Linked DNA regions of Danio rerio. The main gene of each other region encodes a partner of the protein of the gene in region 2 in a complex. Links are inferred from orthologs where the notes say so. Each region holds a gene or a part of one and is shown on either strand. Other genes may lie near its edges.

What was found.
Region 1: the proteins of lman1 (region 2) and mcfd2 are in contact, whole or in part, in a cryo-EM structure (PDB 8JP5), measured with the Homo sapiens proteins. The link is inferred for Danio rerio from reciprocal best matches to the Homo sapiens genes LMAN1 and MCFD2. Residues at the interface, in NP_005561.1 of Homo sapiens: His43, Arg44, Arg45, Phe46, Tyr48, Lys49, Ser51, Phe52, Lys53, Pro55, His56, Gln59, Ser60, Asp61, Val64, Pro65, Phe66, Trp67, Lys96, Phe265, Glu273, Lys279, Glu280, Ile281, Glu285, Lys286, Tyr289, Glu292, Phe293, Phe296; in NP_001164977.1 of Homo sapiens: Val59, Ile60, Asn61, Lys62, Gln70, Glu71, Leu74, His75, Phe77, Lys78, Tyr82, Asp83, Asn86, Asp89, Gly90, Leu91, Glu92, Thr95, Thr98, His99, Val100, Leu111, Glu114, Leu117, Ile118, Ile121, Asp122, Leu125, Asp129, Lys130.

The regions. Positions count from the first base shown.
Region 1 is NC_133188.1:9,056,101-9,060,556, forward strand, and holds the start of mcfd2 (multiple coagulation factor deficiency protein 2 precursor), read right to left. Parts: upstream 3,129-4,456; 5' UTR 3,013-3,128; intron 2,689-3,012; 5' UTR 2,685-2,688; coding exon 2,512-2,684; intron 697-2,511; coding exon 537-696; intron 1-536. UniProt on the Homo sapiens protein: The MCFD2-LMAN1 complex forms a specific cargo receptor for the ER-to-Golgi transport of selected proteins. Plays a role in the secretion of coagulation factors.
Region 2 is NC_133196.1:12,080,235-12,084,062, forward strand, and holds part of lman1 (protein ERGIC-53 precursor), read left to right. Parts: intron 1-492; coding exon 493-680; intron 681-3,828. UniProt on the Homo sapiens protein: Mannose-specific lectin. May recognize sugar residues of glycoproteins, glycolipids, or glycosylphosphatidyl inositol anchors and may be involved in the sorting or recycling of proteins, lipids, or both.

The DNA.
Region 1 (4,456 bases), on a different chromosome or scaffold from region 2:
ACATTTTTGACTGCAGTTTGAGGTAACATTCCCCATCTCTTCTCTAATAAATACAGGGTTCTTACACCTTTTCCAAAGTCAAATTTAAGCACTTTCCAGGTGCATCTTTGAAATTTTCCAGCGCTTTACAAGTCTGGCAAATTACATACATACTTCATCACATTTTATCAGATAATCAGAATTTTATTATATAGTACAGTATTCTAAGAAACTATTAGATGGCATTTTTATGCCAAGGCCAACATTAAGTTACTATCTTTAGCATATTAAATATACAATGTTTTATCTTAATTTTTAAAATAGTTTACTAGTTTAAAATTCAAGCATTTTTAAGGATTTCCCTCCCTTAACCAAATCACTTTGAAAGTGGGGTTTGAAAAAAAAAAAAAAAACACAGTATATGAAACAAATATGGATTGCTGTCAGTAGAATGTTAATATGAATAAATGCAATACTCATTAAAGAATAATTTGTCCAAACTTTAAACTTGTAAAGTACATAGAATAATGTCAAGTTTAATATCAAAGCACACACACCTCCCTATGAACATGTGTAATGGCAGTGGCAAGCTCAAGTCCATCCAGCAGATTGTTGCCATCATAATCGTGCATCTTAAAATAGTGCAGCTGCAGCTCTTGAGGTGTCATTTCTGACTCTTGCTTTTCAACAATCCCTTCTAAATGCTCCATGATATGCCTACAGCGGAACACAAGAAAGGTTCAAATGCAGTGAGAATCATATTGGTACTTAGCAGAGATTTTAAAATGATCAGCCTCAGTTGATAATGGTGACCTTTGGGACAGTCATTCTGTTGCAATAAAAGACTTTTTTTCTTTGTATTAAAATGCAACTGTGATGATTATTTTTAGAATAAACAATAGAGATTTTTAAAAATGAAACAGGCATAAATAAATAGTACACAATAACATCTACATGCATTAGGCATGGGAAGATAACCGGTGTCAAGGTTGACAGCGGTTTGGAAAAGTCAAAGTATTAAAACCGTAATTTTTTTCTGTTATACCGTTTCTAAAGTACATGTAAGGTTTTTTTTTTTTTTTTTTTATACAAGTTTTTATTACCATTTATTTAGTATCTCCAGCAGAAAAGGACCCTCAACAGCAAAAGCTGTTGGTCTGCCCACTATTCAGGAAACATTGCTTATTGCTTATAAACCAACATACAAACATGCTATGGACCTGAACTGTACAAAGAGTTTCAAATTGTTTTTAAACTAATGAAGAAAACAGAAGTTAAGTTTATTTTAATTATTTTGCTTGACACGTTTACTGCTCCAAACTATTTCAAATGTTTTTTTTTTATAAAAAATATTGCATTCAATGGAAATAAAAAATTTTTTTGTTTTTTTTTACCAGATATTTAAAAAAGAAAATTTTATAGTAGCAATCACAATACCATGATAGTGTGAAACCGTGATATCCAAGGTTTTCATACTATCAGAATCTTATACTGCCCATGCCTAACATGCATTTAGAAATCTGAGGATTCACGTTCACAAAATTATTAATTCTGGCAAGAATTTGTAAACACATCTACTGATAGCCTTTATACTGCATAAATAAAGAACAGCATGTACTTAAAACTTAGATATTGAATATAAAATGCCTTTTAAAACATTTACTTTCTTTTTTTTCCAGAAAACAACAGAACAAGTGTTTTCATTTGTTGCAATTGAAAATCAGGGTTTTGACTCCTTAACTTTACTAGAGTTACAGAACTGTTATTGTGACAAAAGGTTTTACAAGCATTTCTTAAAACACTGATAAAATTAATGTTTCTTGAGCAGCAGAATAGCATATTCAAAGGATTTCCGAAGGACAATGAAGACTAGAGTAATGATGTTGAAAACTGTATTCAAGAAAACATTCCTTTTGAACTGTAACACTATTTCAATTTGGCAGTTTTAGAGTATTTTGATCAAATAAAATGCAACCTTGGTGAGCAGAATAAGCTTTTTAAAAAATATTTTAACTTGTAGTTCAGATACCTATTGATCGATATAGATAGATAAATAAATATTAAGAGATAAAGAGAGAGATTTATTACAACCTTTGATTTTCCAACATATTTGCTGAAATACAGAGATCAGGTCAAGCTGCTCTGCCACAGGGGTCATTTGGAATTTGGAAAAGAGTGCATCAAATCAGGTACAGGACAGGTTTCATCATGAATTTGATGCAATCTATATATCTGCAGAACAGGCTTTTAAAATATTTTAAAAAGAAGTCAGCTCACCAAGGGTTCATGTATTTGATCAAAATACTCTAAAGCTTACGTTTCATTACAATTTAAAATGTTTTATTGTTGGATGTAGCCTAGTTTTCAACATCATTTGGATTCTTCACTGTCCTTCGGAAATACATTGAATATTATGTGTTGCTACTCATAAAACATTATTTTCAGTATTAATAAGTGCTACATGCATAGACTTTAAGACCTAACGTTATTTGAAACCTACAATTTTGAATGTAAGAAAGAAAGAAAACGTACTCTCTATCCTGAACCATGTTCCTGTCCAAGCGGGTGATTGGTGGGGGCACTTGATTTGAGCCAACTGCTTCTCCATGTTGTCCTCCATGGGCCCATACAGACAGCATACAGCCGGAGCAGACCAGGAACCAGCTCCATAGTCTGAGCTGCCCAGATATTTCTCTCAATCTCATTACACTGAAATCACAAGACAATGATGGGAGAGCACGAAATTAGGATGACAGTTTCATTCATTACTGCAGCTGAAAGCAGACCTCAACGATAAATACCAGTGACAGCAAACACACATTTATCTAAGAGTTAAGATTTTGCTAAATATATGTGCAATTACGAAAAACGTACATCTATTCTTATAAATGTGGTGTTAAGGGTAAATGGTTGCTGACATATGGATGAACTTGAACATTGCTTTAACAGTCACTGTTACACGTTCGCGTTGCTCAAGTCCAAGGATATCAATACAAATACAGCGACATGATAACATAAACATAATTTACTCACAGTTATAAATCACAGTTGACGGGCAAATATTCGTCCTGTTTGTTCAGCCACAGTGGAGTAACAACGAACTCCTGCTGTTGTTTACTCAGCGCCGCGCTTTCTGACTGCTTCGCTTGCCGTAGTTGCCTTTCACCTTATGGACACGACAGCTAAACTCTGATTGGACACATTTTTACAACGTTTCATTTTTAGTTTGTTTTATTTCTACGCTGATACTGTAAAAAATACAACGTTATATCTTATATGACATTTAAAGTAAAACTCTTGACGTGGATTTCACTTATTACGTTTATATTTTTGTATAAAATAATTAGCCAAATCAAATCTCATATAGTCGTAATTTATCATTTTTAATAATTAAAAAAAGAGAACATTTTATAGAGTACAATCGAATAGTATCGCATTTTTTGTTGGCATTGGATGTGTCAAACTAATTAGGAATAACAGCTTTTTAATTGGCTTAACGTCATATGACCAGCATAATTAAACGTCCTATTAAACCATTATATTCACATTTCAAAGAGATTTCAGGAATAATAAACTATAAACTAAATTTTTTTTCAGGACACGACAGCTGCATGCTGATTGGATTTGACTAAGCGTCATAATAAGTCAGCGCACTGGTGTAATCCACACACAGACAGCAGAGGAATGAGTGAGCGCTTCAGTTACTCATGATGGTTTTGTGGCTAGTTAATAGATCACCACGATCACCTGCATGGCAAACCACTGCAAAGAGAATGAAAGGGCCAAATCAATTTTCCGACGGCTGGAGGTTCAGTTTGATGTTGATATCGTAGAAACGTTATAGTCAGTAGACGTGCCGTGATGTTTTCTAGCAACTATAGTCCTTTGATTGTATATTTTACTGGCTAAATTGTGAAACAGTAGAATATAGGCTAATGATTGATTTATTATTATACATTATTGAGTTTATGAATATTATTTTGATAGTTTAAAATGATTTTTATTAACTACGTCCTGACGGTGCCACGCAAAAAACTATATAATTTAATAATTTTACAAAACATTTTACGTTTCTGTAAACGTTAAAAAGTAGAGAGTCCGCAGTCCGCCCTTTGTTGTCAATTAGAAAATGATGTGTGTATGCTACAGGCTTCAGTGTACATGTCTTGCTGAGTTTTGTCAAGCAGGATTATTTTAAGTCGCCCACTAGATGGGGCCATTATGTCAGTAGGGGTCTGGACAGGCGTCTCATTTTATTAGGATTTGCATTCTGTGGACGTTTTTGCATTAAATAGCCAGCATTTTCATGTAAACAGACTCATAACTCAAGTCTCATGCCGGACTCTATGTTGGAAGCAGCTTTTTTTCTTGATCTTGTAATTCTATTACAACCAGCCCTGCAAATAGTTAACAAGATTTAATTGCTTAAATAGATTTAGTCATCTTGCAGTGGGGGGATTTCAGAGAAATAGGACAG
Region 2 (3,828 bases):
TATAATCATTTTATTTTCTTATTTTAACTGACTTAATTTTTTATTTAAAAGTTTTAAAATATACAGTGGTGATCGAAAGTTTGAGCACCCCAGGTAAAAATGTGAACTTTCGATCCCCACTGTATATTCCAATTTATTAATTACTCGAATTATTTAATTCAACTCAACTTATTTTATCACTAACCCCAGTTTTATGTTATTTAATTTTTATTTTATTTATCCAAATCTGTTTAATCTTGTTGTTACCTCCAACATGTAACAAGTATAATTAATTTTATTCAAATTATTTCATCTTCAATTAATTTAACCATGCTTTGGGGCATTTTGGGCTCAAAATATTCCCTTTCACCATGCTGTCTCACACTTATCCCCATGTATAACTTATTCTAAATCCAGCATTACTAATTTTACCTCACTGAGTTGTTACAATTTAAAGTCGAAACCTTATATCTGTAGTGAAGCGTCATCTGTTCGGTGTTTCTCTTCTGGCAGTTGAGGACCTGTATGAAAGCGTTAACGATCGGGAAATCCGTCAGGTGTTTGAGGGGCAGAATCGAATTCACCTGGAGATCAAGCAGTTGAACAGGCAGCTGGCAATGATTCTGGACGAACAGCGGCGTTATGTGTCAGTCATCACAGACGAGATCAACAAACGCACCTCACAAGCACAGTCTGGACAGGTAGGACTTTTGAAATATGACCGAAGTGCATTTAATGACGTATTTAAAGTCCCCTGAAAACACATCAGAAACTGCTGTGAAAGTTATTTATTTATATATACAGTATATGCGCTTACATTTTCTGAATTCTAATTGTGTTACTGATTAGGAGTCCACTAGGGATAACCTTAAAAGAACATTCCACCCCAAAAGGCTCATTTTAAAAGTCCACTGGAGTTAAACCGTTGACTTGAACGATTTTGAATCCATTCAGCCAATTTCTTGTATTAATGGGGTCACTTTTAGCTTAACTTAGCATAATGCATTGAGTCAGATTAGACCATTACCGTTTTATGCAAAAAATTCAGAAAGCCAAAAAAAAAAAAAAAAAAAACTATAATAAAAGGAAATTAAAAAATTACACTTTTCTAGGTCAATATTACAGGGAACTATGCTCTCATTTTGTTGTAATATGCAAGAAATCCAGCTGCTGTAATATGGCTTCTTCAGGCAGGATGATATTGCGCAACACTTAACCATGCTTTCTTTTCTTTTTTTTTTAATGAAATGCTAATGGTCTAATCCGATTGAATTCATTATGCTAAGCTAAAACTCACCCCACCAGAACAAGAAATAAACTGAATAGGTTCAAAATAGTTAGTCAACTGTTTAACTCTTAGAAGCATTTTTCAAAAAAGGTGGCATGCTCCTTTTATATTTACACTTTTTTTTCTCCTAAGCTATTTAAAACATTAAAGCAGACAATTTTCTTGCATTTAAAATACTTTATGTATATACAGGGTTTCCGCGGGGTCTTAAGTGTAAAATTTTAAAAATCTAAATTTTAGACCTTAAGTCTTTAATTCGCAGTTCTAGGTCTTAAATATTTTTGCACAGGTCTCATTTTTCTGATGTCCATGTACCGCTTTATATAATGCTCATTTAAATTCTTTTTTTGTTGTTGTTGCTTGGTTTTTGTGGTGTTGTAGTTCTTTATTTCACTAGTCCTAATGTAATTTGCGGTATTACAACTACAAATGAGACCAACATGCAATCGCCAATCAGCTTTCTGTAATTGAACTTACTTTGAAGAGATTTTGTCTGAAAGGGGTATGACTGTAGTGTACAGACATCTTTATGATCCATTCATGCGTGATCATAAGGAGAACCAGGTGACCAGTAACTATTGGCTAGAAATTGCAACAGCAGTGGGAAAGGAGGAAAGTTTTTGTAAAAGTTTGGAAAAACCTGAAGGATACAGTAAGTTTGTTAAAGCAAAAAAAAAAGTGGCCATGCAAAAGTGGAGACCCATGTGGTTTTAATATTACAAAATATGTATTTCCACCATTCATAGGTTTTACTATAATGTATACAGCATATTACAATTTTGAAATTAAAGCAATAGTTACAAACTGAAATTATGTATCAGATAATGGCTTTGATAACTGGAAATTAATATATAAACCTATCGGTTTACAATATATTAATGCCCAATTTCTAGGCTTTATTGGTTTTTAGTCAGTGTACTTTTTGCTTTTATTCTTGCCATAATAAAAAAATATAATTGTAGAGCAACCCATGTTCTGTTGCCATGTAATTAACTTTCATAGGTAGAACTGTCCGAGATCTTAACAAAAGCAAGTGATGCATCAAAGTTTGATTTAAAAAATTTTGAATGGTTATAAAAATCTTTAAAATTATTATAATAAATTATACAAATATTTAAAAACAATTTGTTTAAAAATCTTTAATGATATGACCTAGTTCCAGAAACTTTCTACTTCTCTGTTTATCCATCTGATTTTACTGTCTGTTTCGCTTGACCGCCCCCTGTCATTTAAAAGAATATCTCAATGGCGAATGCGTCAAGTATAAAAGCCCCGTCTGTTTTGTGAGGTGCGCAATGCAGTGCCAGGCGAAAGTATAAAACAGCCTTAAGATGTTTGTTTGTTTTTTCTGTAGTTCAATGGTGCATCTAACCTGTCTTTAGTACTGTTCAATTTGAATACATTTATTTTATCACTAATTTTGTGGTTTTGCATTTTTCTGTGTATGTATGCGTGTTTTTGATATTGTGATATAGGTCTTAAATGTAATACTTAATGGTCTTAAAGTCTTAAATTTGACATTATGATATCTGCAGAAACACTGCATATAAAATCACCTTTGTATATATAAATTGATCCAGCAACCATAATGATTATCATAGCGGGAACACTTTAGAATAATGATCCATTAGTGTAATTAATGTATTTACTAACATTAAGTATGAATAGTCTTGTAAAGCATTTACTAACCATAGTTCAACATTAAATAAAATCACATCATCAGCAGCACGTGTACTATTATGAGTGAAAAGCTTAGATGCTGGCTCCAGACAGTGCAAAATACAACAACATACTCCAGAAAAGCAAAACAATATACTATTAGCAATGTTGACAGTGACGTGTAAAAGACAACAAGTACGCCAAGAAACTCGCATTACACACATTTAAGCACAGATAGACAAAAATAAAACAGTTGATATGAACCGTTTTTAATCCATTAAGACGATTTCTTGTTCTAGTAGGGTGACATTTAACTTAGCTTAGCATAACGACATAAATCAGATTAGACCATTAGCATATCATTATTATTATTTATTTATTTATTAATTTTTAAAGCATGGTTAAGTGTTCCGTAATATCACTTCTCTTGGTGAAGCCATGGTACAGCAGCTGGATTTCTTGTCTTAATTAATTATTTAACTAATGCATTATTCAAATCCAAAGTTGTGTTAAAACTAACTAATGTTATTTAATATTTAAAAAAAAAATTGGGGTCAATATTACAAGGAACTGTGCTCTTATATTGTCATAATAGGCAAGAAATCTAGCTACTCTACCATGGCTTCACCAGGAAGTAATGTTACACTGCATTTAACCATGCTTTTTAAAATTTTATGAAATGCTAATGGTCTAATCGGATTCAATTCATTATGCCAAGTTAAAATTGACCCTGCCAGAACAAAAAATTGGTTTAAGTCAATGTTCTGTTAAGGTTATCTTCCGTGTACTAATAAGCAGTAACACAATTAGAATTTAGAAAATATAAGCGCTCAAAACAGTTTCTTGCAGTTTCTGGTGTGTAATTTTCCTCCATGTTTCTAGTGGTCTCTCCAAAAGATATA